2 linked regions of the Rattus norvegicus genome follow. The main gene of each other region encodes a partner of the protein of the gene in region 2 in a complex. Links are inferred from orthologs where the notes say so. Each region holds a gene or a part of one and is shown on either strand. Other genes may lie near its edges. The genes, in order: Pals1 and Crb1.

Region 1 (10,847 bases), on a different chromosome or scaffold from region 2:
CAGTGAGGGATCAACATAGCTTTATGATCTGTTCCAAAGGCAAGAAAATCACTCAAGGATGCTTTTCAATTTACTCTAGCCTACCCAATTCATTTCCCAGTCATCCTAATTTAAGTGGCTGGCAACCTGGAGGATTGCTTCATGTAGCAGAGGACATGTTATATTTATAGGACAAGCGCATCTCGACACATCTGAAATGTATCACGCCAGCTGAGCCTTTTATTTTGTAGTAACTAAAGGTAGACAGCCAATGGCCTCCACAGGATAGGATACTTCTTTTTAAGTTTCTTCCCCCCCACTAGCCCAGTTACTCTAACTCACAGTTTGTTTGATGTCAGCTTCCCAAATGCTGGAATTAGCTGTAAGCCACCATTCCTAGACAGTTATTTCATTCTTATGTTTATAAAAAACAAGGGCCAGGCATGGTTATGCACACCTTTAATGCCAACACTTGTGAGACAGAGGCAGATCTGCGAGTTCAAGGCAAGCTGGTCCACAGAGCGAGTTCTAGGATGCCCAACACTACCCTGTCCCCAAAGTCCAAAAATAACCAAGAGCTGTGATGAATGAATTATTTCAGTACTCTGCTTTTGCATTTGCTGAAAACAATAACAACATACAACATTAACTGAGAAGCAGCAGCATCATACAGCACGCTAGTTTTATCTATTAAAGTAATTTTAACAGGCCTGCATCTTGCTGCCACACCTGATGACCTGAGTTTGATTCTTGGGACCCACATGGTGGAAGGAGAAAACTGACTCCCTGATGACCATATAAATGCTGTAGTGCATATGCACCCCTAAAAAATAAATGTATAGCTGTAAAAGAAATAACTTTTATTAAGGGTAATTCCAGGTTGCATGAGCAGTAGAAAAGAAAAGCTTATAAAATATACCTCAACCTCTGACACTTATTCTCAAAAGACAAAAATCATTTACTGAGGAAGGATGGATTGATTATCAGGAACATTTAGAGGACAGCATGTTTCAATGCTCTTCAGTTGTGTCTCTTTTCACACTGGAGGCTCAGTTACAGGACAGACACATGGAAAGGCAAGCACAGACACATGGAAAGGCAAGGCACAGAGAATGGCTGAATTCAGAGGCCAAGTCTGTTTTTTCATGCCTCTTCCTACAAAGAATTCTAAACACACAAAAAAGGTTGCAAATGCAGTATCAACTGGAATATGTTCTGGAAAGAAATAACAGAAAACAGAAAGAGCCAAATAAAATAACACACCTGTGGTAAAAGACAAAGTAAAAATGAAACTGGTTCTTTTTCAAATAGTTAAAATTTTGGGAGAACTAAAAATAACAGATGTAGAGGTGGATATGAACAAAGCACAATGCTATACACACATAAAATGTTACGATGAAGCCATGATTTGATTCGGTAACTGAACAAAAATAATGATAAAAAAGAATAACAAATGTATAAATGAAGACCAGGCTTCCATATCAATCTAAGACCTTAAAGCCTTATTTTAATTGCTTATGACGTAATTAACATGCTACACAATTTACAGTTTGAGTATATGCGGAGACAGAGGCTGACCACTGATACTGTTAGAATATTTCCAGCCTTCTGCACCCACTACTGATGAGGGCCATTCCCACTCTCTCCCAGTTCCTCATCTATACATTTAAGGGGCCACTGAAACATTCCAGTTTCTATGAACTTACCTATTTTGGATATTGTACATAAATAAACCAGTAAAGGCCTTGTGATTGCCATAAGTTTTTCAAGCTCATGTATTTTGTAGAATATACTCTACTTCAGCCCTTTTAATCAGATAATATCTCAGTGTACAGACAGATAAACCATGCTGTATTTTCAAATTATCGCTGGTGGCTATGGCTATTTTTAAGTTGTTTTTACATTTTGGGTCTTATAAATAATACCAGCATGAACATTCATGTATGAACTGTTCTATAGTAAATTCTCCTAATATTCTTTCCAGGCATGCTGGGTTGTACAGTAACCAAGTCTATCACTTAATAGAGCTGTGTTAAATATTTAACATATAGAAATACATCAGAGTAATGACTTATACATATTTGTAAAAGTACCCTTCTCTACACGACTAAACGAAACTCCATTATAACTGAAGACAAACAACAATGTTAAAATGTCTGAAACTGAACTATGCCATATATTTTACTTTTAAAAAGTTCAGTTTACTAAATTTTAAATGATGTTTTATACTTACTTAAATACAATTACCTGATTTCTCTGTTTTTACTTGAACACACCATATTCAGTCAAGTTTCTGATACAGAAAAGCAGACAGAAGTGGAAGAGGAATAAGCAATACATATTTTAAAATTACTTACTACAGTTTCTTTGGCGGGAGGAGGCTTGATCTGTTGACTAGGAATCAGAACAAATGTCAACGTACCGTGCATATCAGACTGTAACAGAAAGGTTAAAGTACTTTAAAATCGTCCATGATCTTATGATTAACATTCTGATGGCGGAACTCCCTCAGTCCTAGAGGGAAACGTTCCCTTCCTAGCTAATTTCATTATTTAGTCTTGTCACCATGTACTGTACCGAGTTGTGCAGCCAGATTCGTAATCACTGCCAGTGCAGCACTAGCTGCATTCAGACACAGCCAGCCTAGACCGCACTCTTCCTAACTTCATGCGGATAAAACAAGGAGCAGTGCTCAGTGCACGACAGTATCAATCAAATGGGCTCTGAGGGATGACTTGGCTCTTCCAGAGCTACAGGCAGAGATTTAGGGAAATAGGGATATGGATATTCTCTAGCTTTTACAACACACATTGGTAGGTAGTAGACATACTACGCAACACCTGATGCTACATAATTAAGATAAGTACACACATTGGTTTGTAGACGGGAGTACTGGCAGATGCCATGGGAGGAAAATCACCAAAAAGGCCAGTCTGGGATATATACTGAGTTTTACCTCAGACCTTGCCTCCAAAAAGGAAAGAAAAATCCTAATTTGTGTTGAATACAATATGATTAATCAAGGCAATTGGGCTAAGCATGGTGGCACATGTGTTTAACCCCAGCACTTAGTTAAGAGCACTTGTGGCCTTTGCAGAGGATCTCAGTTTGATTCCCAGCACCCATATTTTGGCTCACAACCATATGTAGCTCCAGCTTTAAGGGAGCCAATCTTATTCTGACTTTCTCAGATACCAGTCATGTATGTAGAGCACATACATACATGCAGGCAAAATACTCATAAGGCATAAAATAAGTAAATCTTAGGAAATTAAAGAAGGTAATTAGAAGTGACTACCTAATTATCCTAGCACTGCCCAGTAGAATTTGTTCAACAGAAATATGTTGCAGCTATCTCAGACAACAGCCATTAACTACATAATAAATCTTGTTCAACTATAGCTAGTGAGAATAAGAAACTGAGTTTTAATTTAATTCATCAGGCATGCACAAGGTATACTGACACATGTAGAAATAAATCTTTAAAAAAATAGTAAAAGTAAAACTTATAATAAAGTTCACAGTAAATAAAAATAAACCCCAAGCCAAAAATATAATAACAAAAATTGACAAATCCTGTAAAAGTTAGGCTAAAAACTACCTTATACTCATCAGTTATTTAAAAAATATTCTTTAATAATCTAAGTTTAATAACAAAACAGGCTTTTAAATGAATCAAATATTCTACAGTCTGAACATACCAACAAGTCAAAAACCTCATTGACGTCCTTGCCCCGGATTTCGATGCCATTGATCTCTAGGACTTCGTCTCCTTCGTGCAGAAGCCCGCTCTTCTCTGCCGCGCCTCCTTTCACTATCCGACTTATGATGACAGAATCCATCTCATTACGAACCGTGGCACCCTAAAAACACCCAATATCTAATTTAAACATAAAAATGCAATTTTTTGTTAAGCATTTCATTTTTAAATTTTATTTTTTTTAAATCTAATAAGACTAGCTCTTAGTTTATCTTAAGGAAAAACTTTACTCGCATTGCTACACTAACAACTGTAATTTAACATGAGAGCTAAGCGTTCCTCACCAAACATTTGTTTCAGAGATGCTTTATTCATTAAAATTCTGTAGTACACAGACTTCTGAAACATATAATAGCAGATAATATAACATATACTCTGTGTTTAAAGACATAAAATCAAAATTTTTTTCTGCTGGATTCTCTTCCAACAGCTAGAAAACATCTAGGTATATAATTAACACAATGCCTAACTATAAAGAATTTCTTAAAATTCAAAATATAATCAAAGGATAAATAACAATATGGCTAACTATGCAAATGTTAAACAGCTGCAACCAAATGCATCAAATACTAATATTTATTATACAAATTAGAAGAACAGTGGGAAAGTATATACTCAAAAGCTGGAACAGTAAAATAAAGTAAAACTTATTTTCTAGGGCTCAGTGGTTAACAGCTTTTGTTCCTGCAAAAGACATAGATTTTGTTCCCAGCATCCACACTAAACAACTTACAAACCCCTGTAACTCAAGCCAGGGGACCCAAGTAACTCCCTTTCGTCCTCTGAGGCACCTGCATGCATGTGGTACACATAAATATACTCAGACATATATGCATAATGAGTAAACAAATATTAAAAAAGGTCCTAATTTTCCTAAGTATCACTTTTCTATTATCATGACTTTTCCTTTTATTCTCCAAGAAGGAACTAGTTACATAAAGTGCTTATACATTCTTTTAAAAAATATTTTTATTACTTTATTATTTAGTGTGTTTATGTGGTGTGTGTGTATGTGTGTGTGTGTGTGAGAAAGAGAGAGAGAGAGAGAGAGAGAGAGAGAGAGGGAGGGAGGGAGGGAGGGAGAGAGAGAGAGAGTGTGTGTGAGAGAGTGTTGTGTATGTGTGTCCCTGCGCATGTGTGTGCTGGAAGTCCTCAATCTCTCTCCATCTCACATTTGGAGCACTTAACCTGGAACTAATCTGGCTAGGCTGGTGGCTAGCCTGCAAACTCCAGAGAAGTCTGCCTGTCAGTGACAGAGCTGGGAGTACAGACATATGCCATCATGCTTGGCTTTTCATGTACGTGCTAGGGTACAACCTCTTGATCCTCATGCTTTGTGTGCTAAGAATGTTCCAATCAAACCATGCGCCTAGTTCCCAAAGACCAGATTATCTAACTTCTGTTGTAAAGAGTAAGTTAGAAAATTAGTTTTCGGTTGGGATTTAGCTCAGTGGTAGAGCGCTTGCCTAGCAAGCGTGAGGCCCTAGGTTCGATCCTCAGCTCCAGGAAAAAAAAAAAAAAAAAGAAAATTAGATTTCTCTTCTTGATCTTCAGTAAGTATTTCATAAGTTATTATTTTCATTAAAATGTGAAAATTAAAATGAGAAAAGGTAATGAAATTAGTTTTTCAACCAAGTAAGGCTTTTGAGCAATAGCATATTACAATTAACAAATTAACCCACAAAGAGAAAACTCTCCAGGAACATAATGGGATCTTCAACTCTGTACCATATGAGGTCTTAGCATAGAAAACAATCTTAGATCAGACATGAGAACACTTACCAATGGAATATCCCGAGCCTTTTCTATACGAACTATTTTTACAGTTTCTCCCCCATAATGGCCGATACTTTCATAGACTCTCTCATCTGTTATGGGCTCTAGCTGCATTTCCTGCTCAGCAACCTTATCATGGGCCAGTAAAAGTGCCTGTTTCAAAGAAACCCACAGTGCTTCAAGTGAGAACATGACTTATTTTTGTATAGTTTTCTCATGCACCGAGTATTAAAATCAAGTCCATAAGGGCCTAAAACAGCACAAATATGTAAGGGACTTTTGATCAGTTTTTAAAAATAAGCTATTTAAAAACATAATTTGTAAAGTTTTACATATGGAATTGTATAACCCAGCAATAATTACTTTGCAGAGAGGGTTACAAACTACATGACTAGGTCTCTTCCAACTCTAGGAGACTGTAATTAAAAAAACAAAACAAAACAACAAAAACAAAACAAAACAAAAAACCGAATATTAGAAACAAACAATATTCTGTCCTTTTTCTACCTGAATATGTGGAGCATTTAACAAAGCAGTTAATTCTTGTCCTTCCTTCTGATGGACTGGCTTTAAGACAGTTTGTACCTAAAGAAATAAAAAAAATTTTTTTCTTAGTTTATAGCAATTAGCAGCAGCATCTATGCAGGAGAATATTTTTAAGTGATAATAAAATGGCAAAACCACTTAAAGAAAAACACTAAAGAAACATAAGAAAAAAAATCTTTTCTCAGAGATCTTTCAATCTTATTATAGATAAAAATAAACATACTTCAAATATCATGGTAGTTACAACTGCAAATGAACCATTTCAATTTTTAAAGTTTCTCCTAACATAGCATGAAATCCACTTTAATAATTACATGACAGAAGATCTGTTCCACCTATAGTTATCATGCTGTTTTAGAGATTTAAATGCTATGTTTCAAGAACTACATTAAAAATCGGAGATGAGGGTTGGAGAGGTGGCTCAGAGGTTAAGAGCACTGACTGTTCTTCCAGAGGTCCTGAGTTCAATTCCCAGCAACCACATGGTGGCTCACAACCATCTGTAACGGGATCTGATGCCCTCTTCTGGTATGTCTGAAGACCGCTATAGTGTTCTTATGTATAATAAATAAATAAATAAATCTTTTTAAAAAATCTCAGATGAAAATTTAAAGTTACAGATTCACAAGATAACTGTAGCAGTGCTGGACACTGTTTTCTTAGGATAAATCCCGCAGTTCTGATACGGTTTTCAGGTCCAGTCTTTCGTCATATGCAGGCTGGCCCCCATCATGTAAAGCTCTTCAAAGGCTGACCAGATGACCTCAATGTGGGTCTGCACTTGTGATCTTTCTTTCCTAACATTGCTGGATGGCTTAACTATCTTAACCACAGTGTTGTTTTTTTCCTGGCCTTTTTTTTTTTTTTTTTTTTTTTTTTTTACTTTTCTATTTTTCGGAGCTGGGGACTAAACCCAGGGCCTTGCGCTTGCTAGGCAAGCGCTCTACCACTGAGCTAAATCCCCAACCCCTTTCCTGGCCTTTTTAAAGAACCAGCTATTAATGTCATGATTATCTATTCTTCCTATTAAGAAATTTAAGTACTCTTTTCCATTCCCTTGGTTTCTAACTAATGGACTAAAAATTAAGCCCACTTATTTGCAGTTTTCAATCTTCTACCAATGAATATTGAGGCAGCTATGTTCCTCTGCACACTGCTTTCTCCCAGATTATCCTCTTTATGCCTCGTTTTTGCCTTTGTACCTCCAAATCCCAATTCCAAAATGGTCCACTGCAATAAAGTAAATAACAAAACCAAAACTGTGACTATTAATGGAAGTATAAGAGTAACCAATGATTTAAACAGGAATTCTATATCCTTTATGGTTACTTTATTAGCAATTCTGCAATTAAACCTTTACAGTTTTATTGGTAAAACGAGGACCAATTTTAACCACAATGGGCATACCAAAGCAATGATAAGGGCTGAAGAAAGGCTCCACAGTTTAGAGCTCTTGCTGTTCTTTTTTTTTTTTCTTTTTTTAATTTTATTAACTTGAATATTTCTTATATACATTTCGAGTGTTATTCCCTTTCCCGGTTTCCGGGTAAACATCCCCCTAATCCCTCCCCCTCCCCTTCGTTATGGGTGTTCCCCTCCCCATCCTCCCCCCATTGCCGCCCTCCCCCCAACAGTCTAGTTCACTGGGGGTTCAGTCTTAGCAGGACCCAGGGCTTCCCCTTCCACTGGTGCTCTTACTAGGATATTCATTGCTACCTATGAGGTCAGAGTCCAGGGTCAGTCCATGTATAGTCTTTAGGTAGTGGCTTAGTCCCTGGAAGCTCTGGTTGCTTGGCATTGTTGTACATATGGGGTCTCGAGCCCCTTCAAGCTCTTCCAGTTCTTTCTCTGATTCCTTCAACGGGGGTCCTATTCTCAGTTCAGTGGTTTGCTGCTGGCATTCGCCTCTGTATTTGCTGTATTCTGGCTGTGTCTCTCAGGAGCGATCTACATCCGGCTCCTGTCGGCCTGCACTTCTTTGCTTCATCCATCTTGTCTAATTGGATGGCTGTATATGTATGGGCCACATGTGGGGCAGGCTCTGAATGGGTGTTCCTTCTGTGTCTGTTTTAATCTTTGCCTCTCTATTCCCTGCCAAGGGTATTCTTGTTCCCCTTTTAAAGAAGGAGTGAAGCATTCACATTTTGATCATCCGTCTTGAGTTTCTTTTGTTCTAGGCTCTTGCCGTTCTTATAAAAAAGATTGAGGTTTAATTCCCAGAGCCCACTGCAGGTAGCTCACGACCACCTGTAACTCCAATTCTAGGGGATCTGATTTCTTCTTCTGGTTCCCATAACCACGTGTGCACACACCCACCCACAAATATAAAATATTAGAAAACCAAAACAAACCAAAACAGGACAGTGCAGGGTGTGGTGATATATTCCTTTAATCCTCTCATTGCATAGGCAGGAGGATCTCTGTGAGTTCTAGATAAGCCAGGGCTAACCAGTGAAACACTTTAATAAACAAAGCATAGTGCTGAGACCACGGTCCTCTAGTTTTAGTACCAGAAACTATAGGTAAGTAAATGCTGATTTTTAAAGACACTGCTTTCCTTTTGAAACTTTATGAAAACTACTCAAAGTTAATTTGAAATCTATAGTCCCTGACCAAATACTTTGTTACTGCTGGAGAAAGCAACTCTCAGAGGGGAAGACAGGTTTGAATTAAAAACAAAACAACAGGGGTTGGGGATTTAGCTCAGTGGTAGAGCGCTTGCCTAGGAAGCGCAAGGCCCTGGGTTCGGTCCCCAGCTCCGGAAAAAAAAAAAAAAAAAAAACAACAACAATGACAACAACAAACAAACCCAAGACTTTATAAAAGCTACAATCAGGTCAATAATATTTTAGGTACTTTTTTCTGTTTATACTTTTAAGTCAGTTCCTAAGCATCTCTGATAAATACCCATTTCTGTACCAGCCAACACAGATGCTGTCTATGCTGGTGCCAGTGCACACCACTCGCAGGCCAAGGGAGCTGAAAGACTGTCCTTATATGTTACCTGCCCCTCCCACTGCCCAATGAAAACAGATCTGACCACGTATTTCATTAAAAACAAGAAATGGTCAATGACCACACAAAAAAATAGTGTCAGCAATCATGGTGGAAAGGAAAATTAAAACAAGACACCCCCACACCACATATCTGAGAGTCAGTAGCCAGAGAGCTGACAAGATGGTTCAGTAGGTAAAGGCACTTGCCACCAGCCTGATAACAACCCCAGCTCATTTCCCAGAATCCACACAGTTGAGGGAGGGACCTGACTCTTCTAAGTTTTTTTCTGCCCTCCACACTCACACCACACACAGCATGTACATGCTCACATGCACACAGTCTGCAATAAACAAATGTAAAAACAATTAAAAATGGATCAGTAATAGGAAACAACCAATGTCTCACAATAGATATAAACAACTAAACACACTGACACACCGTGGACTCAGAAAGCATCACAACCTGGGACTGGGACTTAGAGGACTGGTCACGTGTCCATTATTTGTGAAGTGTTTGGTTTAATTTGATACATGCACAGAAGAGATGAACCTTAAGACTAGACTGAGCAGAGGAAATCAAGACACTGCCATGGTTTGAATGTGAAATGTCCCCACAGGCTCATGTTGGAACATCTGATCCTCCAGGTGGTGCTGTTAGCTTTGCAAGGCTAAAGCTGTAGGGCCCAACTTGAGGAAGTGGGCTGCTGATAGCTTACGTGTGTGTGTGTGTGTGTGTGTGTGTGTGTGTGTGTGTGTGTGTGTGTGTGTGTGTGTGTTTGTGTGTGTGTGTGTGTGCGCGCGCGCGCGCCATGGCTAGAACTTTGTTTCCAGCACTCTTTCTGTCTCCTGACTGCCAAAGCAATGTAGCCTGCTGCCCACATTCCTCTGCCACAAGGAGCTGTCCTAGTGCCATGCCTTCACAGCCAGAATAAACTATGTCCTCCCAAAACTGTGAGCCCAAACAAATCCTGCCCTTTCAAGTTGCTTCTTGTCAGGTATTTAGCCACACTGGCAAGAAAGATAACTGATGCAGACACAAAGAGTAAATATTGCCTATTTATTTGACATGTTCATAAATGGCAAATTAGTAAAACAGAAACCAGGTTTGCAGATGACAAAAGGGGCTAAAGAAGAGGTGGTCACTCTCTTCAGGACCGTAAGTGAGCTTTGTGGGTGGAGGATAGTTTAGAAACTTGACAGTGGAAGGTAGACCTCATAGGTGCATATACAGATATTTACACTATGCCAATAACAAAACCTATTTTTAATAATTGCAAACTGTATCTTAATAAAGCTGGATACTCTACGTATATAACTATTCCTTAGTATCACGCAGAATTAGTTACAAGGACTCTTGTTTCATACCCAAAGCTAAGGTCACTTAAGTCTCTTTTACCAAAGGGCAGAGCATTTGCATGTAACTAACATACCTATCCATCCATATACTTTAACATTTTCTCTCCTTTACCTAACGTGTAACAGCTGTACAGTCTTGTTTAGGGAATAACAAGGAGGAAAAGTCTGTGCTCAGTAGAGATTTGGATTCTTTTAGCAAACCCCTGAGTCTGAGGCTATGAAGTAGAATGATACTGAGGAACAATTATACTTCATGTTGTTTGCTTTTGTACAGGGCTTGGGACTGAATCCAGAGCCTCACAAATGTTAAGCAAGAACTCAGGCACCGAGCTCCGTCCTTATCCCTGGGGAGTCTATCTCTTACACCTTTTACCAAAATGAAATCACATTGTTCAAACTGTTTTATCAAAGTACTGTATAACTTTTGATTTGCT
Region 2 (10,847 bases):
GCTGAAGAATTCCTCATCTTGATTTATCTGCCTTCCTTACCTACTGTTCCTTTTGGCTTTATATGGGTGAGCATCGTGTTCACTCATGGCGGTTGGCCAGGAGTTACCAGGGAGTGCCATAGTGTAAGTCCTCACTACATCATTTGTTGAGTACTAAAGGCCACGCCAAGCAATACGGAAAGGACATTAGTAGTTGAAGCAGAATTCTTCTCTAAATCACTAAACTCAAATAGTATAACCCTACTTCCAGAAAGAGCTTTAATTTGGAAGTATTGACTAAATAACTTCTATTTTAGCCATCTTCCAGAAAAACTTAGTAAAATAAAAGTTGGGGTGGGAGGAATTTATTGATATGTAGTATTGAAAAAGTGTAGTTAGAAAAAAAAAAAACGATGTACTGAAAATGGTTCCTCACACTCCTGACCCAGATTTCTGAACCAGCACTAACTGAATTTACTTTTCTCTTTACAATCAAAACATGGCATCTCTCCACGTTTCCCCGTTTCTCTTTTTTTCAGCAGAGAGAGGGGGGGGGGTGCTTCAATCCACTCCCATGTATATACTCACAAAGGAGGAAGACAGTCAACCCCAATCACAATCCGGTGTGCTACAGCTGTTAATGATGAAACATCAGCAAAAAAATGTAGTCAATTACAGAGATTTGATATGCGTGTGTGTGTGTGTGTGTGTGTGTGTGTGTGTGTGTGTGTGTGTGTGTAAATTAGGAAAACCTGAGAACCTGAGTGTGTGAATTTCTGTCTTTTAGGTGTGATGGTCTTTCCTCATGACCAGGTCAAACTAAGACCAGCTTTGTCAGAGACGATATAAGTCAAGAGTGAAACAAATGAGCTATTGGATTACAGAGTCACTTGCCTACCAAAGAAAGTCCATGGGACCTGGCCTTGGTGTCATGGTGCTTACTTGCAATGACACGTAAGGGGGAAGGAGTCATCAAGAGATGACTACTCATGCTTGTGTCTGGTGTCCAGCTGCTGCTGCTGGTGGCGGTGATGGTTGTCTGCGCAACTGAGCCTAGTTGCGGATCACTTACTGTGTAACCCTCGGTCCAAGTAAGCAAAGGCATGTGTCACCAGAGAATGACCAACAGAACGGAAGGAAGAAAAGATTTATTTTTCTGTGAAAATGAGGAGAATCCTTAGTCACACAGACATACTTGAACTATGGAGAAATAAGGAGAATAGAAAGAGGGCATTTAGCAAAAAGCTATTAAATGCTAATAAGACAGTTGGAAGACAGGAAAACAATCAACAGTTACAGTGACAACAGAAGCATTAGAACTGCACAGAGAATGACACTGTGGGTAAATACTCCTTAAATATATTCTATAGGGAGCACATCACATTGAGGACAGTTGAAGTCATGTGTGGAAGGGAGCAAACCTGAAACTCTGCATATTGTCTCTGGCTGTAATCTACTCAATTGCAAATACTTAAGAGTGCAAATATTTTTGGAAATGTTTTCCCTGCCTTTCTGGCTACAAGGTCTCGTTTTAGGAGAGCGGTGTGGACACCATGCTTTGGATACAAGGAAAATGCTGAGAAGGAAGGTCAGAGCTCAGCGTCATTACTATTGTGAAAGGGTTGCTGCGGGGTGGAGGCTGCTACGTAAAATGAATAAGTACTGAGGAATAGAGCAATACCCCTTTGTGTGACTGGCATATCTGGATTCGCCTTGGTCATTGCCACAGAAAAAGCTCTTTTTAAAACAGTCGTGACCCACTGAGCATTGATAACATGCAAAACACAAGTTACCCACATGCCTTCAAACCAGGGCAGCTCCTGAAGACACGGGCACATTCGCAGAAGGGTGTCTTTCAGACTACTGCTGCTTCAGTGGTGGTGTGAATTCATTCAAAGTATTTCCTCCTCAATGAACACTAATGACATCTCTGTTGGACTGATATAGACCCCCCCCCCCCTTGCAAAGATATTTTGCATAAATACTGAATCAGGGAATTCTTGATGGGAAAGTCAAACCCCCTACAAATGTGTCAGTACCTAACGGAAAGTTTCCAATTGTAACGGAAAAGGGGGAAACGTGAGGGGAACTAATAGAGAAAATGCTCTCTGCTATTTGCTGGTGGAAAGAATGGTCCATGATATCAGAAGTGATGCTGATGAAGGATACTGTGAGCATCTTTTTTCTGTGTTCCTGGGGGGTGAACTCATTTCTTCTTCGTGTAGAAAAGAACTGTCCGTGGAGAATAGCTTTGCAGGAAGACACACATGACTATAAAAATGTTTATAGGTATTTTTAAATGTTCATGTTACATATAACTGGTGAGAAGGAGGACCACACACCGCATTAGAATCATGGTGAGGGGGGGAAACTGTCAGTAGGAAAATAGGGAACGTGCAGAGGTGGAGTGGAGAGAAAAGGTTTTCTAAGTGTAATGAAAATCATTCAATATGGAAGCGTTGAGGACGACAGTGGCCTGGACTCAGCAGGCTGGGTGGTGAGCTCTTTCTGACTGTATTAGAACATTCTTAGGGGCTGGAAAGAGCACTGACTGCTCTTCCAAAGGTCCTGAGTTCAATTCTCAGGAACCATGTGGTGGCTCACAACCATCTTTAATGGAATCTGATGCCCTCTTCTGGTGTGTCTAAAAAAAAAAAAAACTAGAATAGGAAAATACCTTCTATAGACCCAAACTGCTTGTGGTGTCCTTAAATGCATTGTCATCCTCCAAGTCTGCAGTCCTCAACCTGTAGGTCATGAACCCTTTGGGGGAATCAATGACCTTTTCACAGGTGTCACTTAAGACTGTCAGAGAACCTAATATTCACATTATGATTTATAAGAGTAGAAGGATTATGAAGTAGCAGTGAAAACAATGTTATGGTTGGGGCCACTACAACAGGAAGAGCTGTACTAAAGGGCTGTGGCATGAGGAAAGTTGAGAATCACCTCTCTAAATGGATTCTATTCCCTAATTTTCCCTTTGTCGTACACTGAGACAAGATGTTTCTTGAAAGTCAATGTTTTACACGTTAATAATTTTCCTGTGCACCCCACTCTACCTCTGGCTCATCATTCATGCGCAGAATGAGGTAGGACAGGAGTTGAAAGAGGTTTTGCCACAGTAAAAGGGACACATAGAAGGAAAGGCCGCTTACATCCAGCTCACAGCGCTCGCCCGCAAAGGCCACATCACAGATGCACTGGAATCTGTTGACCAAGTCCCTGCACAGGCCTCCGTTGATGCAGGGGTCAGAGGCACATTCATTGATGTTCTCTTCACACCTTGAAAATGGATATAAAAGCAGATGCCCCAGGTCAGGCAGGCGGATTGTTAGATTGAGCAATGGTTTGTCCCTCTTTCTAACATGGCATAGAGTTTGCACCAAATCTACCCAATTAAACACACTGGATAATTTCAGAGGTTCCTTAAGAGCCCTTTAATACATTCTGAGTTTTGTGGAAATTTGTCTGTGCACAAATGCACAGACATAGGTGTACACATTGAATTAATTCAAATAAGAAAATGACTGCAAATATTTAGAAGTCCTGATTGTCCCTCAGGAGCGTGGGTCAGTTTGCCACCTTTTAAATGTCAGCTTTATTGGATAGATACTGGGGGGCTGACTTTGCTAGCCTGGAATCTACAGGGCAGAGACAGCACAGGCTGTGAAAGTTCTAGAGTTTCTCTGCCTCAGGATAGACTTGGCTAATTCTAGGAGATGTTGGATTATTTTCCTTTGAAATTCAATTTGTTTAAGCATTTAGAAAAGTAAGGAAGAACCCAGTTAATAAATCCATGGTCTAAGTAGTGACAAGGAACTCTAAACGTTCTAGTAAGTGTTTTCCTATATGACTTTTCTGGGAAAAAAAGAACAATGTCCACTCTAAGGTACTTGAGTACTGTCTGCCTCCTTTTCAACCGATATTTTTTTCTTTTGATTTTTTAAAAAACTGATATATGAACACAAAAATGGCAGACACGTTGGATGTGTGTGTGTGTGTGTGTGTGTGTTAGTGTGTATATGTGTGATGTTGATACTGTGTATACAATGGTGTATGTTCAAATGAGGTTGAAATAATCAAATGGCACATCGTTCTATTGACGCTTTCATTGAAGTTTTAGGTTTTTGGAATGTTATTATGTATAGTCGCAACTCCTTGTTCTGGCCCTCCAAGGATTAGTTCAGTAGTTTTATTTACCGTGTGCCAGATACTCTGCTAAGGGCTTGAGCAGTGGTGAAGGCATTTGCGCTATCTTAGGAAAAACTCTGCAGAACCATTTACGCTATAAACTGTTTTTAATCTCCACTTCCCCCCAACGTAGAATGTCTGTGTGTGCAGAGACTTCTCACCAGGCTCTAATGCAAGGGCCGAGGTGGAGGAGCTGTGAGATGGTGTGATGGGAAATGGAGATTCAGTCCAAGGAAAATAGCTCTTTATCCATGGGATAGCGAACATAGCTGAGACTCTCTGTTTTCCTTTTACGGCCCTGGCTTCTGGGCTGGAAGGAGGCTTCTCTGATTAGATCCCAGCCAAACTTGACAACTCTCAGGAGCTTGCCAAGTACTCTGTGTATGGGTGGCCAGCATTCACACCATCCATCACCTGAACGTGCTGGACTGACTGACAACATGAAGCTGGAAGCTTAGGCAAGCTCAACAGCTTCTCAGTATCCTCCGCTGTGTGGAAGTCTCACAGCTCTAGGCCTTGGGAGACGCCGAAACATTTCCAGCCCTTCCTCCTGCTTTCTTTTATTCCCTTACTGATTTCCATTTTGAACAAAACAGTGGATGCTGCATATGCATAGAAAACAGCAGGGGAGCCTTATTAGAAAATAATAGGACTGAATGTGGTGCCTCATTCCCCAAATTCCAGCAGTGAGACAAGTCAGGCAGAGGAATGATAGCAAGTTCGAGGCCAGCCTCCTCAATGTAGCAGCAAGCTCTAGACAAGCCAGGGCTACAAATGGGATCCTGTCCCCAAAGAAAAAGCGAGATAAAAACAAATGAAAAAGATGATAATTAATATATGGAAAGTCAAAGTAAAGCCATTAGGATCTCCTGAATTCATTAATGATGATTAATGTGTTTGCAAAATCAGAATATATTAAACGCACATTCACTGTTAGAAATAACTCTGTACTAGTGAAGTCTATGTGGAGACAATCTTCCCTGGGAAGAAAGGAAAATTAGTAATCCCACCTTCATCTCAATCAATAATTTAAATGGCAAGTATGACTTTCAAAACTGATATACATTGGAGGAAATGGAAATATTTACTGCAAAAAATAACTGAGGGTTTTGGATGAATACTATTCATTGTGCTATTAAGGGGAGATAATATTATTAAGCCAGGAGGCAACGAGCATTTGAAGATAGTAAAGAGTTATTTATGTTTAGGCCAAAGATCTATTTACAATATTTTGAGGATATGAAATCGGAGGCATGTCATGCTGTGATAAGCTGGAACACGAATGGGACTCCTCTAATTCCTTCTGCACACATGTGTGTCTCAACTGCCTGTACCTTATTCTAGGAGATGGAGAAGCACATTTTGTATTTTGCTTTAGCTGTGCTGAGCAAACGCTTACTCACAAATTCACGTCAGCTTTCCCAGTAGAGCAGCACCAGCTTCGATGGCAGCTCAACCTTCATTGCTGCATACATTTAACTCAGCATCAATCTGTAGCTTAATCCGCATTCACCTTCACACACACACATGTACACACACACATACATACACACATGCACACACACATGCATACGTGTACACACACACATACACACATGCACACACATACATATACACACATACACACACATATACACACATGCACACACACATACACACACATGCATACATGCACACATACAAAATAAAAACAACAAAATCTTGCTCACAGAGCTCTGAAATGTAGGTATATGGGTGGATTAGTGCTAAACCAATGGTAATGTTGTCTAAATAATGCCTGTGTCCACAGAGTCCTGGTTTTTACCAGTTTGGGGATGGAGATCTCTTGGGGCATCTGATCAAAGCATGTCTTCTCTTCCCCTTGATCACACCCCAGCCAGGCAAATGCATACACAACTTTCCCTGTATCACTAGCTGGGCACCTCTGACTAGGTGAACAGTGAAAGGGCTTCTCTGTGAACGAAAGAATTGCCCGGGTAAGGAGTACATATACTTTGGGTTGAAGTCAATCAAATAAGGTAACTTTTAGGTGTGTTTTATTTTACTTCAAAAGCAACCATATTGAAATCATATATTAGAGTTAGCGTGGGGAGGGAAGGACTCCGTGAATCCAGAAGTACTTATAGGAAAGAATAAATAAGACATTATGTATTTTAAAAACCGTATTTTCTTATTTGAAGTCTTGGCTGGTAAAATATTCTATACTTTGACCTACCCTGTAATTTTTCTTCTTTTTTATTGCTTGATTCTGTCTGGACCTATATTTCAACATGGATTTTTTCCTGTGGGAACTGAGATGAAAAATTGGAGGAGAAAATGAACTCTGGGCAATCCCTCTGTTCTTTAGCTCAGAACTTTTATCCATAAAGTTCCAGTGTAACTCACCACTCTCCAGTGAAACCTGGCCGGCACACACATTTCCAGTCCTCCTGGAACACGGAGCAGCTGCCTCCGTTGTAGCAAGTGAAGTTTGTCTTCTCGTTCCCACAGACTGTTGAGGGTAATCTGCTGTGTCTAGAGAGATAAAAATAATGGCCACAGCTGTTTATCTTGTTCATCCCATGCAAGAAAAAAATTTTTTTTTGAAAAGTTCATATATGTAGTCAATGTTAGGCTAATTAAGCTCTGAGGCCGAGGAACAATTAATGCTGGATTGTGCTGCATCGTAAAACACGACGTTCTTCAGCAAAAAGCCCCTGCTGGAGCCCACTGCAACCAACGTGGTCATCCATCTTTCCTTCTCCGCAGCTTTCGTGCATAAGATAAGATCTACGCCATGGGGTGGCCGTAAATTCAAGTCTGGGAAGGAGCTCACTCTAGCTAGAACTGCAGCTGCTTGTTCTAATAAATCAACAGAGGCCATAGGAAAATTGCATCCCTATAAAGGGCAGGAAAACAAGGAGACCACTCTGGTACTCAGGCCCTCGTGTGATTTCTCTGTTGGCTTTCAGAACTGAACTACAGTTGCCCTGCCAAGACTTGCTTGCTCCCTCTCTCATAATTCATAGCTTTGCACAGCGCCAGCCAAGTGTTGTCCAGGCGGTTTGTGTATAATACTCAGTGTGACTACATGTGAGTTCAGCATGGGGTTCTTGGTATAGCCGCAAAGCTAGACACACTGAAGAACTCTTATAAAAGGCAGAATAGATTGTTAAAAGCTAAGAAAATACTGCTGGACAGAAATCCCTAGGCTTGAAAGGGCTGATCTTGGAGCAGATTTAAAATTATTGCTCAGGACCTTCAGTCATATGTGTGTGTGCACATATGCATGCATGCATGCGCGCGCGCGCGCGTGTGTGTGTGTGTGTGTGTGTGTGTGATCAGATACAGAATGAATATTCTGGAAGTGGAGAGCAAATTCACAATCGTCCTGTTATACCCTGAAGCTAGCACCTGGATGATGGTGTAGAGGTGTGTCTTTTCAAAAGAGTGTGTCTTTTCAAATGAGCCTAATAACTCTACTTCAAAAAGAAAATATCATAAGGACATTTCAAAAGAGTTAAGAGTGCCAACCGGCTCCAAAAGGAGTCATTTGCATTGCAAATCTCCAGCTTTATACGCAGCACCTTGGCTTAATAAATAGCACCCGAAAAGTTCATTAGAAGGGACTTTTGAGAACTTTATTCTTTAACTTGACTTTGATGGATCAGTCAGAAAAAGACTCAGAGAGCTCATTCCTAGGGCATATATATTTTCTTATCTATGGTCACTGTGTAAGACTCTTAATTTGTACCCCCAAGTTTTGGTTTTAACCAGTCAGGTTACTCCTTGACAAATGATCCTGTTAATTTGCAAGAAATAATGTCTATTAAATCACCTGAACACTTAGGACTTCTCACTGTGCCTTGCCACTGAAGCTCTGCACAATATTAGATGCTGCAGAAGATGAACACAGCTTCTCCCAGGCACGGCTGCATGTAATGTGTGCCAAAATGCTCTACCTGTGGATTAAAGTGATGCTTACAGCCTGCCAATTTACTCCACTCCAGGTATTCTTGTCCATGTCCTAGCATATGGTATTCGTTAATAACTACCCTTTCACCTCCCTATAATGACTCGGTTATTTTATAAATGTAACGCCAAAATATCAATAACAGTAACAGGATTAAAAGATTCTTTGTTTAATCTCTATTTTTCATAGCATAAAAATGACGTGGTCACAAGAGCAATAGACTTCTATTGCAATTTCAGAACAAATGTGAAATTCTTTAAAATGGGTTAAGTTGAACAGATATTCTTGTAGTGACATGCTGAGTATTGTATAACGACCATTTTGCATTGGTGTATGCCCTAAATTTTCTTTATTAAGCTGTGTCATAATTCTCTAAGTTATACAAAAGACTTGATACAGGATATTGCACAATATATAATTGCACCTTTGCATGATCAAATTGTGATGGGAGTGTTCCAAACCAGTCTTGTTTAGCACATGTGGATGGACATTTAGGGGGGAGAGCCTCCTAGCCTGACAAGGAAAATTCAGAGCAGAGCCCCAAAGACTGAGCTCCTCACCGACTTTGTGCCCACCTGCAAAATCTGCCGGTAAAATTTCCAAGACAGAGGCAAGAGTAGCCCTGAGCGCCACTGACGCAGGTGGCCCCATTGGCACACTGATGACTCTTGCAAGTGTCTACCTCCGCTTCACAGTTCCCACCAGTATAGCCAGGCTCACACCTGCAGTGGTAGGCTGCAACCCCGTCCGAGCAGTTGCCATGGACACAGGGGCTGGAGGAGCACTCATCAACGTTGATTTCGCAGTGTGCCCCCGACCATCCCGGGAGACAGGCACACCGATAAGAGCTGTAGCTGTCTTCGCAAATTCCTCCATGCAGACAGGGGCTAGAGTGGCAGGCACTGAGTGGCAAACAGCCAGTAAGTGCCACATTTGTAGAAACTTTGAGAAACTGCTCTTCTTGGGGCTTACTAGTGAAACCATGAAGACTTTCAAAGTAAGAGAGATATAGCCCTCCTATCTGTACTGTGCTCAGACAGCCCTGCAGGCCTTTCTGATTGTCAACAGCTTGGTCACCCACATAGATGTCAGTATTGTCCTTCAGAAAGTTCAGGTTTCCAGTAGCAACTGCACTTATCACAAAGGGTGTCTGGTCGTCCACCTCCATCTGCCACAGGGAGGTCTGGGCCCGTGGGTCTATCATGGAAAAAGTCACTCGGTGCCATGCGCCGTCATTCACCAATTGGGAACCCGTCAGATGCAGCGTATAAAAGCTGTTGCCACTTCGCAGTTGAAAGAGTAGTCTGGAGTCTTGAATGCTAATATTGAGAAACTCTGGTTCTTTTTCTGCATGCAGTATCACCGCATTTGTATCCTGTGTTCTGAAACCAAATGTGATGTTGGTGAGTTCTCTGGTAATATTCCCATTGCTTCTGAACAATATTTCGCTGCTTAATCCGCTGAAAGCAGCATTGGCGATACCTAAAGCAGGAAGGGGAAACTGATTGTCAACTTCATCGCATCACGCCGCTGATGTTCGCACAGCTTGTTAGACCGTTCCCTACTGTGCTATCGGCTCTCAAGTTGTGTCCTATACAGATGCTATCATGGTACTTGTTTTACAAGAGAATAACTTGAGATTCACAGAAGCTGAGTAACTTGGTCATTTAAACAAAACAAAACAAAACAAAAACACCACACTGGAAAGACAAGCCTGCCTATTGTGATTCCAGAATTCAACACACACCTTTCTTTTGTTTTCCATTGGCTTGTATCAGGGAAGCCTTTCTTATCCATTTCACATATAAACTAAACACATAGGAATCACAAACTTAGTTTTGGTGACATGCCAGTTAGTTAACAATGGACCCTGGCTTTTGATTGAGTTAACAGAAACATTCACAAATGATGGATTGATTTAGGACATAAAGACCTTCAATTACATGCCAAGGTACCAACTAGCCATCTACAGCCAAGTAAATTCATGTGGTTAGGAAACTGGAAAATAATAGCTTTTTGTGTTCAGCTATTTCAGCGAATATAGCACTTTTGACCGTCTTGCTGCATTTCTCTATTAAAATCGCTATAATTTTATAATTATAACACCTATCTCCTAAACGTTCTGACTCCATGTCTGCTTGCAGTCTGTGTACAACCTTGAGAAAAGAGAGGTAGAAGCCCCACCCACTAGGTTCTAGCAGACCTGTTGACCTAATGAATAGTGTCCGTGCCAGCCCTCTTTGCAACATTACAGGGACACACTGTCCTTATTCCTTTCTGGAGGTCAGGCTGTCAGGTCTCATGTTGGGTTCCGTTCATTTTCACTATTTTTAGCCATTTTCTTATGTGCACCCATTTTTTTTGCCCTGTACCAACATTTCCCTTCCATTTTTGTAATTTTTTCCCACTGCCGTACAAATAAACTATGATTGCTGAAAATTTAAAAAAAAAAAAAGAGAGCCCACAAGACCCCATAGCATTGCCCTGACTGCTATTCTGCTGTCTTATTTCTCTGTTCCTGTTACCACAAAAACTTAATATTCTGTAAACTCGCTTTAATTTTCTCATCTCTCATTTTCTCTGATTTTCTCCCTATCACTTCACTGAAACTGCTCTTGTCCAGGTCACAATGACCTCAACCCTGTGGTCAATTTTCTGTTCTCACTTTTTTCTTACTTTTCAGCAGCAGTTGATCTGAAAGCATGGTTGGGGACTTTCATTG

Evidence for each region.
Region 1: the proteins of Crb1 (region 2) and Pals1 are in contact, whole or in part, in a crystal structure (PDB 4UU5), measured with the Homo sapiens proteins. The link is inferred for Rattus norvegicus from reciprocal best matches to the Homo sapiens genes CRB1 and PALS1. Residues at the interface, in NP_957705.1 of Homo sapiens: Ala1401, Met1402, Glu1403, Arg1404, Leu1405, Ile1406; in NP_071919.2 of Homo sapiens: Lys261, Pro266, Leu267, Gly268, Ala269, Thr270, Val271, Arg272, Asn273, Ser281, Arg282, Val284, Val314, Asn315, Val317, Phe318, Leu321.

The regions. Positions count from the first base shown.
Region 1 is NC_086024.1:103,347,823-103,358,669, reverse strand, and holds part of Pals1 (protein PALS1), read right to left. Parts: intron 6,101-10,847; coding exon 6,023-6,100; intron 5,669-6,022; coding exon 5,522-5,668; intron 3,843-5,521; coding exon 3,681-3,842; intron 2,415-3,680; coding exon 2,337-2,414; intron 1-2,336. UniProt on the Homo sapiens protein: Plays a role in tight junction biogenesis and in the establishment of cell polarity in epithelial cells.
Region 2 is NC_086031.1:53,386,786-53,397,632, forward strand, and holds part of Crb1 (protein crumbs homolog 1 precursor), read right to left. Parts: intron 9,608-10,847; coding exon 8,701-9,607; intron 6,688-8,700; coding exon 6,559-6,687; intron 3,265-6,558; coding exon 3,138-3,264; intron 1-3,137. UniProt on the Homo sapiens protein: Plays a role in photoreceptor morphogenesis in the retina. May maintain cell polarization and adhesion.